Lonchura striata: one gene and its partner. The protein of the gene in region 2 interacts with the protein of the main gene of each other region in a pairwise test. Links are inferred from orthologs where the notes say so. Each region holds a gene or a part of one and is shown on either strand. Other genes may lie near its edges. The genes, in order: IMPA2 and UBA3.

What was found.
Region 1: the proteins of UBA3 (region 2) and IMPA2 interact in binary tests that used the Homo sapiens proteins (3 or more experiments, as listed by UniProt). The two-hybrid records come from large-scale screens. The link is inferred for Lonchura striata from reciprocal best matches to the Homo sapiens genes UBA3 and IMPA2.

What each region holds. Positions count from the first base shown.
Region 1 is NC_134603.1:52,902,925-52,910,381, reverse strand, and holds the start of IMPA2 (inositol monophosphatase 2), read right to left. Parts: upstream 3,207-7,457; 5' UTR 3,058-3,206; coding exon 2,947-3,057; intron 1-2,946. UniProt on the Homo sapiens protein: Phosphatase that can use myo-inositol monophosphates, myo-inositol 1,4-diphosphate, scyllo-inositol-1,4-diphosphate, glucose-1-phosphate, beta-glycerophosphate and 2'-AMP as substrates in vitro.
Region 2 is NC_134614.1:19,697,797-19,705,472, forward strand, and holds the start of UBA3 (NEDD8-activating enzyme E1 catalytic subunit), read right to left. Parts: upstream 3,117-7,676; 5' UTR 3,091-3,116; coding exon 3,071-3,090; exon of another isoform or gene 3,060-3,070; intron 2,954-3,059; coding exon 2,912-2,953; intron 45-2,911; coding exon 1-44. Other genes in the region: ARL6IP5 (PRA1 family protein 3), read left to right, coding at 5,143-5,318. UniProt on the Homo sapiens protein: Catalytic subunit of the dimeric UBA3-NAE1 E1 enzyme. E1 activates NEDD8 by first adenylating its C-terminal glycine residue with ATP, thereafter linking this residue to the side chain of the catalytic cysteine, yielding a NEDD8-UBA3 thioester and free AMP.

The DNA of each region.
Region 1 (7,457 bases), on a different chromosome or scaffold from region 2:
TTTATTACAACAAAGCAGAATGAAGAAAACAGAAAGTCAAGATGCCTTTTCCCCCAGCACCTGTCAGGAGAGTCTCCTACAGTAGTGTGCTCATGTCAGATATTTCATTTCACCATACTGCTTGCACCCACCATACACTTCTGGGAGATCCAAGATGGATTATGGATGCTTGCAATGCTGTCCTGAAATATTTACTGACTAATAAAATCAAACATCTAGATAAAAAGCGTGAGTATCTGCAAATAATTCAGGAAATTCCAATCTGGTTTGCTAAAACATCTGTCCACGTTACATCAAAAATAGCCTAAAATTTTCCCCTGGGAGCAAACATCATGGAAAAATATATTGGCTTTTTAGAATACCAGAAAAATTTTGTCTTTTTTTTTCTTTTAGTGGTATTCTGCTAGATCTTTTATGCCTCATAAAACTATTTTCCAGACAAAAAAGAAAAAAATACTAGAGAGAAAAAAAAAATCAAACTTCAGCATACTATGTCCTAGTATCAGTTTCTTACTCTTATTTTTACCTGGATGTTTGTTTACTCATTTTGGTTAAGCTTTTCCAATTCTGCAATTGGAGAGAACAGTGAAGATATTAGTCAGTGCGCTTAACAGCATCAAAGATGCACAGATTGGTCAGGCCTGCTTTTCTTGAGCAAAAAGTAATATCAAACCTATGGCTATACTTTCATGAACAGAGCAAGCAGGTTACTTACAGAAAAAAACAGAAGGGAAATTTGAAAAAGTGAAGTTATTTGTGGCCTTATAGAATGAATTTAAAAGCAGGTCAATTACAGACATTACAAAACCATGACCATTCTTGTTATGAAACAGCCATATATATTAAATGAGAGCCTGTGTTATTTCATAAAAGTAATAAGAACTTGCCACAGGGCAAGAGAATCAGTGATTTTAACCTAGTAATAGAGGTTACTCCAGCAACAATACTTTAGACACATAATCAAGCATCACTTCTTTATTGGCCTTTTAAGTTTAGAAGAAACTATTCTATAGTGTAGACTCCTCTCTGTTGGGAAGAAGACACATTTTACCTACAGTCATGAAACATAATGCAATACAAATCAATTGGTTGTATAAGCCAAAAGGGAGACTGGAAAACTGTGTTACTGGCTGACTTTTCCTAGAAATCCAAAATCTGGAGGTGCACATTTTTCTTCAGGCCAAGACTCTTGTAGACATTTTCTAATGATTCCAACCCTTCCTAACCTGCCACACTCCTGAGAAATGGAGCACCTTAAAGAAAAGGCTGAAGTGGCAAAGTCTCATCCAGAGATGGAGATTAAATTTAGATGTGGGGAGACACAGAGTGCAAGCAGATTTCTAGGGATGGAGGTGAAGGTGGAAAGGTCTGAGGGATGGGAAGAGAAGCAGAAGAAAAAAATGAACTTGGCTAGTGGAATTGACCGCTTTTGGTGATCAAGATAACCCCCATTTTTATCATTCAGTCTTCAACAAACTGCCAGTCCTACGAAACACATTTTGCACTGCACTAGGTGTCCTTAGCTATAGTTTATTTTGGTAATAGCTGGAAGCAGATTGACACTTAAATAAAATAATAGAGCCATACCTGCACCTTTTCTTCCAGAAGGATCTCCAGTGCCTTTTGTAACAAAAAAGATTCCTTAACATGACAAAATAATTGGAAAAAAAAATACCCAGTTTCCAAAGTCCTACTTAAACAACATCCTTGGCTGGCTTAAATTTGGCCTGCCAATGAATCAGGTATTTCATGCCATTTACAAGGTAGCAATGGCAAATTGTGATTTCAGATTCAAGGATTAGTCTTATGGAATGTTTACTTCTTCCAGGAAAAGGTGCTCAGCTGTGATTTTCTGAGCAAGTAAAATGATTGGGGAAGCTTAAAGCTGGCTTCACAAATTGGTGTTTTGAGAAATAAGGTGTGGAGGCTTGAGCAAGTCATGAGTCTCTTCTTGTGAAACGGCTGGCAGAATGACTGCTGGAGAAACTCCTGTTTTGAGAGTCTGTGAGAGCATGACCTGTCATCCTGATTTGGATTATCCATTTAGTCCCTGTATTATTAAAACAAGTCTCCTCTGGCATTCTGTTCACTTGTAGTTGTTTTTGACTAAGGAGAAAATGTATTTAATATTACATTTTATTTATTAATACTTTTATTTATAAAAGTTATGGATCTTGGACTCAAGATTAAAAAGGGGGCTTCTTAAATCACAGTGTATATGTACAAAGCGTGTTTCAAAATAGAGCAGAATGGAAGCGAGAGAGAAATATACATTGCTGAATAAATTTGTGTTTCACCCAGTTTCTCAATCAATCAATCTGCTGATCCCACTTCTTGGCTCTGTTAGACCTGGTGGAAGTTTTGCTGCTGCAGAGTGGGGTCAGGCTGCCTCCTGAGATGACTAACCTGCTGTGTCAAAACACGGATCTGAAATAAGCTACTACAGACCTTCCTCACACAGCTATTTGTCCCTAGCAAGTTAATTTCGGCCACTCTAACAAGAGAAAACCTCCTTGACACGGTTGTTTTTCTCTGCACAAGCTGCTGGAAAACAAATGCTGGCCCCGAAGGATGCAACCCCCAAGGGATGCACCCGAGGGATGGGGCCTCGCAGGGAAGGGGCCCTTTGGGGGCATGCAGCCCCCGAGGGAAGTACCCCCAAGGGCTGGGCCTCCCTACCCCGGGCTGGGGCCTCGAGGGAAGTGTCCCCGCGGCATGAGGCTCCCGGGGGATGTGGCCTCTGAGGGTTGGCCCCCAGGTTCTGGGGTCCCTCGGGATGGGGCCCCGCTGCCGCCATCCCTCCCGCGGCCGAAGGCTCCGCCGGCGGCCCGGGCGAGCGGGTGCCGAGCCCCGCCGCCCTCCTCCCGCGCCCCGGCTCCGCACCAGCCGAGCGCCCGCACGGGAGAAGGCTCCTCCGGCCGCGGGGCAGCCCGGCCCGGCTCTCACCTGCCCGGCGCGGCGCGCCAGCTGCACCGCCACCTCCGCGCACTCCTTCCAGGGGTCCCCGCCGCCGCCCGCCGCCCGCCCTTCCTCCTCCTCCTCCTCGCACGGCTTCATCGCGGCGGCCGCGCTGCCCGGAGCGGGGCCGGGGGGCGCGGGGGGCCCGGCTCCCCGCCCAGGAGCGCCCGCCGAGGAGGATGCCCTGGGCGCACACACCGCCCGGCGCTGTCACTGCGCGCCCCGGCCGCGCCCCGCCCAGCGCGGCGGGGCGGAGAGAGGCGGCAGCCGCGGTCAATGGGGAAGGCGGGCTGGCTGCTGAGAGCTGGCTTTAGGTGAGCCCCGGGGGCGGAGGAGGGCCGGCAGAGGCGGGGGTACCGCGGAGAGCAGCGCCGGGGCCGCGCCGAGAGGGCGGGATGCGGCGGGCAGGGTGCGCAGGGGGTTGCGGAGCGCAGGATGCGGGATGCGGAGCGCAGGATGCGGAGGGCAAGATGCGCCGCCATCGCCATGGCCGTGCTCCTGCCGCCCCTCCTGACATGGCGCCGGGACCGCCAGGCTGGGGCTGGGGCGCTCCTGTTTCCCCCGGGAGAAGGAGGAGCGGCCGCGCTCCCGGGCCGAGCGGCCCCTCGGGGCTCCGCTGTCCCCGTGTGCCGCAGCCACCTCGCCCGGCTCTCGGCGTTACCGGGACTTTGGGGGAAAAGCTGGCGGCTGGCATTGGCTATCTCCGGAATGAAAGGGGAAAAGTGTGGGAAAAGCGGCCTCGGGAGTTCAGCTTGTTAGTGATTGGGAGTTCAAGTGTGTGGTAAGAAATACATGGCCCTTTCTATTTTTCCCTTGTCTTCGTGTGTCATTTTGGATTTGTCAAGGATGAAAAGAAGAGAATTGAGAACTCGCTGTTCCAGAATCCGTATAAGCCAAATTGCCATGCCGGCAGAGCAGGGAACAGAGCTGAGCGATTCTGGATCCGCCTCTCCGAAGGAGGGCAGCCCAGGATGAATGCGTGCTTATGCAATAGAGCAGCCAGACTGTTGTGCTTAAAACACCGAGTGAGTGTTGGGAACACACACTTTATCTGTCAGAGTGAGGCTTTTCCAAATGACTTGTTCCGATGCACACTTGGCATTGAATTGGAAAAAAGAGAGCCCAGGGACTGAATCCATCAGCGTAGCTTTTTGAAAGAGGCATTAGGTATACAGAGTGCATGAAATTTGTTATTGTCTTTCAGCACCTGCTTTGTGGTTGAGAGTTTCATTCCCAGGGCTAGAATAGAGATGCTTTAGTAACGAATTTGCATGAAGAAAATTGGCTAACACCACCATTTCCTATCTCTGAGCACAAAATTAATTAATTTCCTAGAGAATAGGCTAAATTAAATTGATGTGGGTATTCTACTTAATGTAACAGACCCTAAATCTAGACCTATTTTCTTTTGTTTTTTATCTTGTAGGACAAAGATGACTTTGGGATGAGAGGGATATGCTTGCCTAGGCAGTTCACAAAAATAATAGACACTTTCTAAAATTAAACACTTGGATCTTTTCCCCCTAAAGCAAGGGAGTGAACTTTGTGGCTTGTACCACAAGAATTCAACTTAATTCTTTAAATTTCTAAGCTGCACCCTGGCAGTGGATGTCAGTCTACTTAATGAAATATTTTGTAGTCCCCATTTTGAATCAGGAAAAAATGGTAACAAACTATGAAAAGGTGAATTAACTACTACACAAAGTGTGTATGTTTGGTTGAAGCATGAAATTATGAAATTTTGTTGAATAAATCTTCACCAAATATTTGTCAATCTTTCTGCTGACTGATTTGTTTCCTCCAAATGCATATTTGCGTCATTCCTATGTTAGATTAGTTAAATGCAAAAAACCCTACAAACATGCAGTATAATTTGGACTAGTATAGAATAGAATTGGTCTGGATTCTTCTTTAGTCTGAATTTCCTCTAGGTTTTGGAAATTTGTGTTTTTTATTGCTGCCATAGCATGAGGCATCTTCAGGACCTTCCCTAGAGAGTTTCTGTGCAGGGCTAGATGGGTAAATGTATTTCCTTGTGAAATTTGTGGACTGCTGAGATGTAGTATAGACAGCTTTAACTTTGGTGAAAAAGATGTAGAGTTAATAATGGTTTTGCATTCCAGGAAGCATCTCAGACCATGATAGAAGTGCTTTCTGTGTTTTTTCTTGAACTACAAAGTTTTAGTTACTGAATTTGCCAACAATAAACGCCTATACCTATTGCTGAAACAGGCTAGATCCTAATCTGATGTAGTGCAAGTGGTTTCTTCCTGTATGCCTGGGGTCTGCCTAAATGCCTGGAGATTTGTTGTTATTAGGCTGCCACAGGGGCGTTTGGAAGACTATTTAAGGCATGTTTTAAAAGCAGTTAGTGTGAATTACAATGCAGTAGCAGGATACACTGTATACAAGTATCCCCACTGAAGGTATCTACAGAAAGTTACACACAACTTCACAGAGAAGTACTGTTGCAAAGAGGGGGAAGTGCTCCCCTCAATATTTTTTCTTCACAGGAGTGCGTCCTCTTTCTAAGTAACGTCTGGAAAAATAAGCATTTCAACAGTAGAATTTTTCCAGCCTTCTTTTCATTCTGGTGGTAGAATAGTGATAATAGGATCACTGGAGGCTGAACTTGAGAGGCTGAAATATCTGAATGAGTCCTCATTTTTTACAGATTTACTGCAGCTATGTGGCTCGTGCAGGGAGATTTAAAACAGGACTAGAAGGTCAGTAAAGAATACTTAGAAAATCAGTAGCTACAGCTAGTATTTCAAGACTTTCCAAAATACTTTGCAAGAAAATACAGCTGCCTGTAAGGCCTTTAAATGGTAATATTTCTCTTTATCATTCTCCTAGTCCATGATTTTTTCAAACCTTCCTTAGCCTAGACCTGCCCAGGCAGTGTGAGCTTCCCCATGTGAGCTGCTGGCTGACATTGACTGTCCATTCACCTGCGAGCTGGTTGAGGCTGCTCTCTGCCTTGCTGGATCAGACTCTTGGCTCATCTTTCACAACTGCCAAGGTCTTTCATAACCTCTGATCTTTCATAACCCCAAACTCTAGCCAGTTCCTCTCACATGCCTTTCGTAACCTACACACACACCGCGTGTTTAATCCACTTGGAATAGGCCCATCCTGATGAACCTGAAATACAAGTGTTTCTTGGGTGCTTTGTCTGCCTCAATCCTCCTGAGCCCCAGGCAGACTTGTGTGGATGTCAGACTTCCTTCCCCGAGACAATGGATGCTCAGTGGAGGGGAAAACCTCCTCTTTGACCTCAGAGGAGAAAAGGGAGACTAGTCACGGATTTCCTTCTCTCCCGGGGTGTGAAGCCCTAATTGACTTAGGTGTGGCTCAGCTGGGGGTGGCGGTCTCCTTCCCTTCCTGTCCCAAGGCGCTGCGCAAAATACGCGGTGCGGCCGCTCCGTGCGCCGCGCAGGGGTCCCCAGCGCGGTCTGCTCGGAGCAAAACCCAGGGTCACTCGGTGGGGCAGCTGCCGCAGCTGGAACTGGTTTAATTCTGCCTCAGCAGACAGCTTGCCATTCTCTACGCCGATAGTAATTGCAGGCTGCAGTGATGTAATAAGGTTGTAGTTTTGCAGAGTGAAGGTGACCTCGCTGTAGCCGTCGGCATGGGATCCTCAGATGCTCTCCAGTGCGGATCTTTGGCACTTCACGGACTTGATGGATCTTTGTCATTTCTTTGGTTTGATAGACGATCTCCTAACAGGGGATAAAATGGGAGGACAAGTGTATAACAGCTTTAATAAAAACAGAGGGGTGAAGAAAAAAAGAAAAAGGAAGAAATCTTTTGCAATTATTATCCTGAGTGCGAAAGAGCATTTCCTCAGTGTGACAGCCAGAGGCTTGCTGCACTGTTATTAAAGTGCACTTCAGTGGGAATCCATGCAGATGGCTTTTTTACCCAGCATAGGATTATATTGGATTAGTCATATAAAATTGTTGTTTACCATCTCTAGTCCTTTTCCCCAGAGCTTTTAGCAGGAATCTCACAAAGCATGTAGTTTCAGTCTGCCTTTACGCGGTAACCCAGCTTTTTGTTTGTGCAAACTGCTACAATGTTGTAGTTTAATGTAATCCTAATGTTGCAATGGGAGATTTTATACCTGATAAAGGAGGCTGTTTGGCCCAGATTTTCCTTTTGGCTATAAGAAATGAAGTTAGATCTTAAGGAGATGCTCTTTCTTATTGCTGGACTCTACAGAAGAGCTGTGCTGATCCCACTTCTGCTCCATCCGAGACAATCAGAGATTCCTAACACTGGCACTGTTTTTCATAATGCTCACTAATGAGTTAATGCTTAATTAATGCACTGTTCTGAGTGATGTATGAGATATTTCTTGTGTTCCCTTTCTATCATGCAGAGCCGTACTCTGACCATCTTTCTTCTCTATGTCTAGAAGTCTCAGGGATCACTGTGTGAAAAACATCAATCGGTTTTTTTTTTTTTTTAATCTTAAAAGTTTATTAATAATAAAA
Region 2 (7,676 bases):
CTTCCCAGTCTCCAGAGTCCCCACACCCACCATCAACAGCCATTCTGCACAGAACACAGTAAATTCAGCTGCAAAATCAGACAGGAAAAGCCACACCTCCAACTTTCTATGCAAAGAACACCTAAATTATTGATCATTTGTACAAATGCACCTGCATATTCTTTATGCCTCTTAAGTAATGCACATGAGCATTTGCATGAGTGGGTTTTATTTGTGAAACTAGAAAGCAATAATATAAATATGCACAGAGGGGAAAAAAAAACCCAGGCCTTTCAATAAACCCACTGCTTTAACAGTTACTAGTAAAAGTTGACCTGCAGTTTAAAAAGGGCCTATTCTTATTACTTTTATTTCCCTCAAATTTGAAGAGGACACTGAAAAAGAGCTTGTTCCTTTAGATTTTGAGGGTGATCATTTTTTCATCACTCAAGTCTTGTATCTTTTTTTGATAGACTTATCAGTCTGTAACTGCAATTGTGAGGCTCTGAATAAATTACAGTAACATGCCCCAATATCATCCTCTCAATCTTCAGGGTAGTTTATTTAAACAAATATTTTTAAAATACATGAATCAAGAATGTTCTTCACCCTCAAGTGGTACCAGGGAATTGGAACTGTCCCATTTTTCAGGCATGCTCAAGCCTGTCTGCAGTAACAGTCTCAATTGAAAAAAAAAGGAATGTTTGCAGCTATCTTCCTTTAAATTTTCAAGGCAGAATTTTACATTGAATACTCCACTACCCTTTTCTCATTTTGCAGGTCACTTTTAATAGTACATAAGTATAGACTTAAATTTTTCAGAGACTTACAGGAATAGTTCAAAATCAGCTCTCAAGTAATTTTCTACTGTAAGATTAACATCTACTTCCCTATTAAATAAACAGGAGTTCCACTCAATAAATATGATTATGTTCTACATTAATATAAAGGATTCAATCCTGAGTAGCAAAGGATGTGTCACCACTGATAAAGTGTTACCTGCTTTCTCCTATGAAGCACTATGAAAAGCACTTGTCTAATAATTCTTGGATAATGTTTAGAATTTATTATAACTTCCTTGTAACTCATCTCAAAATCAAAGGTAAATGTGGTGAAAACATCTGGAGTGAGTTCCTTTATCTTCACAGAATTCAGAACTTGGACAACACAGTGTGCCAATAGTAACTGAACTTACAGGCAACAGATTTTGGAAAAGATTTTCAGTAATAGGGAAAAACTTCCCTAAACTGCAGGAATAAATAAATCATAATTCACCTGTGATGTCTCTGCCTATGGCAGCGGGTTGGAATGAGATGATCTTTAAGGTCCCTTCCAACTCAAACCATTCTAGGATTCTATGATAATTTGATTGCAGACTGAACTCTCCTCATTAATAGCTGAGGGGAGTTATTCACTACATGAGCAGTTAAATAAGACATACAAAAATTACTTTAATTCATAAGGGTCTTTTGACCTCAGATGCACTTTCATATCTCCTCTAGTTTTCACAATAATATGAAAATACACATATTTCACATAATGGGAAATGGTGTAAATGAACACAGCACCCTCTGTGCAGAACCCCTCATCTGCTGTACACCAGATTTCAGGAGGTGCATTAAGCACTGACTTAAGCAAATAAAATGGATCAGCAGACATCACAAAAACTGCTTCTATGGATATTATAGTTTTTAGTGTTTCTGGAAATTAGTGTTGAAGCAATGTTTGGTGACATTAAGAACAAATTTTTTATTCTTTTATATAGCCCTTATGAACAGCTACTAAGCAGCAGCATTCCTTTTCTGTTTCAATGTGTATTTCTGTTTAGATATGTATTTTCCTTCCTAATTGATAAAAATGCTAAGATCTAATTTCACTTTTGCAATTAGACTACAGTTCGATTTTTAGATGGTTGGACATTGTGGAGATCTGAAAAACATCCATAACTCAACCTGAGATTTCATGTTTTATTTCACAGGCAGTTTTCTCCAGTGTTTATTTTTTGTGCTGTTACAGCATGACCAGGTATAAGAGTTCAACAATATTCTTATGTATTTCATTTAGTTATTTTCGTTTTAAATTTTGCTTGAAATATCAGAGCACCACAGTCCTTATATTGCTTTAAGCTCAGACTTTTCCCTGCCATCTTCACTTTTTGTGCTGTTACAGCACGACCAGGTATAAGAGTTCAAGAGCATTTTTTTGTATTTCATTGAGTTATTTTCATTTTAAATTTTGTTTGAAATATCAGAGCACCACAGTCCTTATATTGCTTTAAGCTCAGACTTTTCCCTGCCACCTTCACATCTGCAAAGCTCCATGCTTTTGGGGGACTTGGCATGCACCCCCTCCCATCCCACATGCCCAGGGAATGCTGTGGCCCCATCCCCACACACATGCACTGCCTGCTGACCCTGGGGTAGAGGGACACAAGCACATGGAATGGAATAATTCAGGAATGAAGCAGATGTCGTTAAGGATTTCTCAACATTCATTTTCACGGCCTTTAAGGCTAGATTTTAACGCGTTTTAATGTGCAGAGACAACCGTTCTGCAGTCTGAATTTTTAAATTTCCAGCCAAAAGCTTAAGTCACCTGCTTCTAGCCTAGAGGCCCTCCCAGGTCCCTGACGGCAAGGCAGCTTTCCCCCCTCTGGTCACCAAGCTCTTCAGCACACCATGCCAAGCTGCGAGCCCGCATCTCCCACGCCGCTCCGGGCCAGCCCCTCGCTCCTCTGCCTCCCCGGGAGCTTCCTCTCCTCTCCTGTCCCCCAGGCCTCGCTGCTCAAGGGCCCTGCCCCAGCTACGCCAGCTCTCCTGGGGCTCCCTCCTCCCTGCCCGCGCTCAGCTCCTGCGGGGCTGCGGCTGCCCTCACCTCACCCCGCCCCAGCAAGCGCTGCCCCTGCCCCGCTGGCCCGCAGCCCCGCACTAACCCATCCGCCAGCAGCTCCTCTAGCCTCCTTCTTTTCTTCTCCCTAAAAGAGAGAGAATAAAAGAAGGGTCAGTATCGCGCTACAGAGACCGGGGAGGAGGGAGAGGGGACCGCGGGCGCGGGGCAGGGCCGGCCGAGCACACACATACAGGGCACTTACGGTTCCTCACCATCCGCCATAGTTCCCTCTGCTTCCCACAGTGCCCCGCGAGGGGCGGCGCCGGGCGCGGCGCGGGCAGCGCCGCCTGAGGCGGCTGAGGCGATAGTGGCGATAGTGGCGACAGTGGCGACAGTGGGGACAGTGGGGACAACAAGCACGGACACTCGGCAGGGACACCCCCGTTCCCTCACACAGAGGCTCCCTCCCGTCCCGCCTGCCCGCACCCGAGGGATCTCCCTGCGCCCGCCTCTCTGATGGCCACAGAGTGCGATGGTTTCGCTTCAAAGGGACCTCAAAGCCCATCCACTTTCACCCCTTCCACTGCCCCAGGTTGCTCCAAGCCCCGTCCAACCTGGCCTTGAACACTTCCAGGGATGGGAAAAGCATCTGAGCAGTTTCTCTGGACAATCTGTGCCTCACCACCCTCACAGGGAAGCATTTCTTCCTAGTATTTAATCTAAACCTACTGTCCATCAGTTTGAAGCCCTTCCCCTTTATCCTATCACTCCAGGCCCTTGTAAATAGTCTCTCTCCATCTTTGTTGCAGCCTTCCTTCAGGTACTGGGAGGCCACAATTAGGTCACCGCAGAGCCTCCTCTTCCCCAGGCTGAGCCATCCCAATTCCCTCAGCCTTTCCTCGTAGCAGAGCTGCTCCAGCCTCCTCCGGGCTCAGAACTCCCTGGGAGCCATGGAGGGCATCCTCAGGGAAAAAGGGCAGACACCATGGTGCTTTAAAGCCTTCAGGACAGCTGGAACCCAAATGTGATCAGGCTCAGGCTGGTCGCTGCCTGCCACAATGGCTTTTTGTCTTACTAACACTCCCTGGGCAGGGCCTGGACATAAACCAGAACCACATAAACCAAGGACCACACATAAACCAGAACAGTGCAGGCCAGGAAGATGATGAGGACTAACTTGGCCTGTGTTCAAGTCTTGGACTTCCAAACTTCAGGGATGTAAATCCTTCAAGGATTCCTTCAAGTGCCAGCCTGCTTACATTTGGAGAAGGATTTTGATGCTCGGCACGGTATCAGCAAACCCTGGGTGCTGTGTGATGCACAAACAGCCCGTGCTCGAGCCATGGTGGCTGAAGTGTGAAAGCCTGAAAACACAAATGTTCCAACACAGACTGCTGGGGTCAAAACACCACAGCTGCAGGCACCAACCTTTCCATCCAAAGGCACAGTCACCCTGTTGCCTATTTTAGGAGCTCTCTAAACACAGAGTCTGGTTTAGAAAGGAGACATGGTTTAATCTGCCAGGCGGAAGTTTCCAAAATCAAGTACCCCAAGGGGTAAGAAGTTTTATCTATTATATAGTAACATTTACATGAACACGCCTACTTACTACATATTCTCCGCCCTCCTAATGCATATTTATTTAGGTGATGTAATCTAACGCAATGCCTGAAATCCAAAGTTCTTTTTTTCATTAGGCAAATTATATCGTAGAAATTATCAGACGGCATCAGTTACTTTGCAAAAGGTGAGAAAATTCAGCGTGAAGACAGCAAATTCAGCCTGAAGACATCCTAAACCCCACTAGCAGAGCCCCCCTGCCATGGGACACCCCGCAGTGGTGAGGCTGACACTCCTCGCGGTGCCCGCCCCACTCATCCCTGCTTTCACAGATGATGCCGAGTGGCTTCGCCCACGTGAATGCTCAACGTGCATCACCACTCGCTGAAGGAACAATGAACGCACAGCGATTATTGACAGCAGCCCCTGCCAGCTGCCAGCCCTGGGCGGTGACACACGCCTGTCGCTTGTGCTGCTGCCCGTTCGCTCGCGGGCTCGGCAGCGCGGAGCGGCGGGGCCGCACCGGCGCGGGGCCGCTGTCGGTGCCGGTGCCGCCCCGGTACCGCTGTCGCTGTCGGTGCCGCCCCGGTACCGCTGTCGCTGTCGGTGCCGGTGCCGCCCCGGTACCGCTGTCGCTGTCGGTGCCGGAGCCGCCCCGGTACCGCTGTCGCTGTCGGTGCCGGTGCCGCCCCGGTACCGCTGTCGCTGTCGGTGTCGGTGCCGCCCCGGGGCGGTGCCCGGCGCTCCCGAGCCTGCGCGGCGGCGGCGGCGGCCATGGAGGTGCAGGTGGCCCCGCTGCGGGCTTGGGACGATTTCTTCCCCGGCTCGGATCGCTTCGCGCTGCCCGACCTCAAGGACATCTCGAAATGGAACAACCGCGTGGTCAGCAACCTGCTCTACTACCAGACCAACTACCTGATGGTGGCCGCCGCGCTCGTCTCCATCGTGGGGTCAGTGCGCGGCCTCGCGGTGCGGCCGGCAGGGCCGGGCTGCGGCTGGGGTGGCCCCGCTCCCCGGGCGGGTGCCACGGGAAAGAACCCGATGTGAGAGTACAGGGGCGGGGGAGCTGCCTTTTCCCTTCCTCCTTTTCCCCTCTTTTCCCCTTACCCTCCTCCACTCCCCTTTCCCCATCCCGCCCCTCCTTAAACCTCTGGTGTCGTTTAAAAAATGTAGAGGCCTGGTTTACAGCCGCGGTAGCAGCCGGGTTTGTGATGTGTTGGTGGGGTGTGACCGGCCTGAGGACTCCGTGTGTGTTGTCTCCCTTTCCCACGGGCTGCTCCTCCAGCCCTGTGCCCGAGGCGGAGGCTGCGGAAGGCAGCGATGCTTGGGGTGCGGGATGTTGCTGCTCGCGGAAATCGGAGCCGCATCCTGCGCAGCGATCTGTGCTTCCTCCTGAACCTGCCCAGCGGGGCTGCTCAGGCTGAGGCACGCTCAGCTTTGAATTTAAAAAAAAATGCATAGATAAATTCTGCTCTCTGTAACTGTCCTAAAGTAATGTTCAGGGCAAGCCGTTCTTATTTCTGAACTAGCTCATACCAAAAAAAATCGCTATAAAATAAATAAGGTACCCCATCATTTCGTTCTGGTGGGCAGGATTCACACCTTCGAGGCAGGACCATCTGCTGGTACAATGTTGTTTCACACCCAGCATTCCTGAAGGGAATGAGGAAATAACCTTATAATCACCTTCTGAATTAAAGGCTATGTGACTCTATTTCAGGTACTGCTCTAGGATCTTTGGTCAGAAAGCTCTTAAGCAAGACATGCAGCAGAAACGATGATTAAGCTTTTAATATGGAAACTGAAATACTCCACTCTTCTCAACAAGCAACGCACAAATGCTTAAATTGGAGAACTGCCCAGCTACCAGGCCAGAGTGGCTTTGGCTGAAGTACATCTTATCTCTTATGTTGCAGAGGCTTAAAGTGATTCCCCTAAATATTTTTTTTTTTTTTTTTTTTTGTGAGGGGTACGCATTCTGCATCCTGTTAGGGCTTCTGAAGCTGTTGACCCAGCATCTAAGTTGATAAAGATTCTCTGGCTCACAGCAGACTTTGACCTGTACTCTGTGGAAGGATAGGCTCAATCCTGCATTTTCTTCTTAATGCATATGATGGTTTTAGGTTCAGTAGAGTGGCATAGGCATTTTTATTTTGTATTTTGGTGGCAATATGTTGCAGTGATATTTACAGACTACTAGGCTGGCAAAATGAGACTTCTATGGTCTTGCTGTTCTTCTACCACTTTGTTCTATATTTGTGTGTTCATTACCCTCATTAGCAGCACCATGTTGTAGCTGGCTCTCAATGAACAAGTAAATCACAGGGTCCCTGGAAAGCAGGCGGACAGCTCTTCTGCCCAAGAAGGTGGGAAAAGAATGAAAATAATTTAGGTATCTCCAAACAGGGTATCTCCCTGTAAAACAGGGATGGCAGCAGCTTTTACTCACCTTCCTAAATTCCTGCTTTGGAACTCTTGATTGCTTTTCTTCAGATCAAGGGAGATTTGTCTCCCACTTATTTCCTACTAATGTGCTGAGGTGGGAGGTGGAGGAGGAAGAGAGCCACAGAAGATGGAAACTAATATCAGAGCTGAAATTATAATATCTTAATATTGAGTGATAACCCTCTGAGTTGAAAACTTATGGATGAACAAGACCTGAAGTGGGATCTTTATCTCACATATTTTTTTATTGCATGTCTTAGTCTTTGGTATATGATGAACCTGATTCTTCTGACATGGAAGTAAAATTAGATGGGAGAATAATTCTAAAGGAAATGGGATAATACCTCAATAGAGAAAAAGTATCCATTTCTTTTAATAAAAATACTTTTCAATTGGCCAGACTGTGGCTTTGGAAGAAAGGTAAAGAAAGTTCTCCTGATAAATTTAAATTGATGACTAAGTTGTCTTTCACTTCATCCTGTAATGGTCGGGAACCCCTGATAAATGATGAATCATGGCTTTTTAGGAACTCCAGGGCTGTGTCCAGGCCTAAGGGCAGGATTGTTGGAACCACTAATAAAGTGGTCTTAATCTGTGACCAACTTTACCTGCCCATAAGCCATCTAATTATACAGACAGACTTGAAATGCAAAGATAATATTTTCAGCTGTTGCAGTTCTGTGGTTGAGCTGGGTTGACACAGAAATTGTAGTCCAGAGCTTTCTTGATACTGGAAATACTTTGTGCTTTGTGCCACAGCTTTAGTTTGCTGCCCCTCCTATAACAAAGCTGACTTCTCCAGCCTTTTACCTTCTCTCCACAAAGTATGGAATAACCTTGCCATGAGCACAGTGGAATTGTAA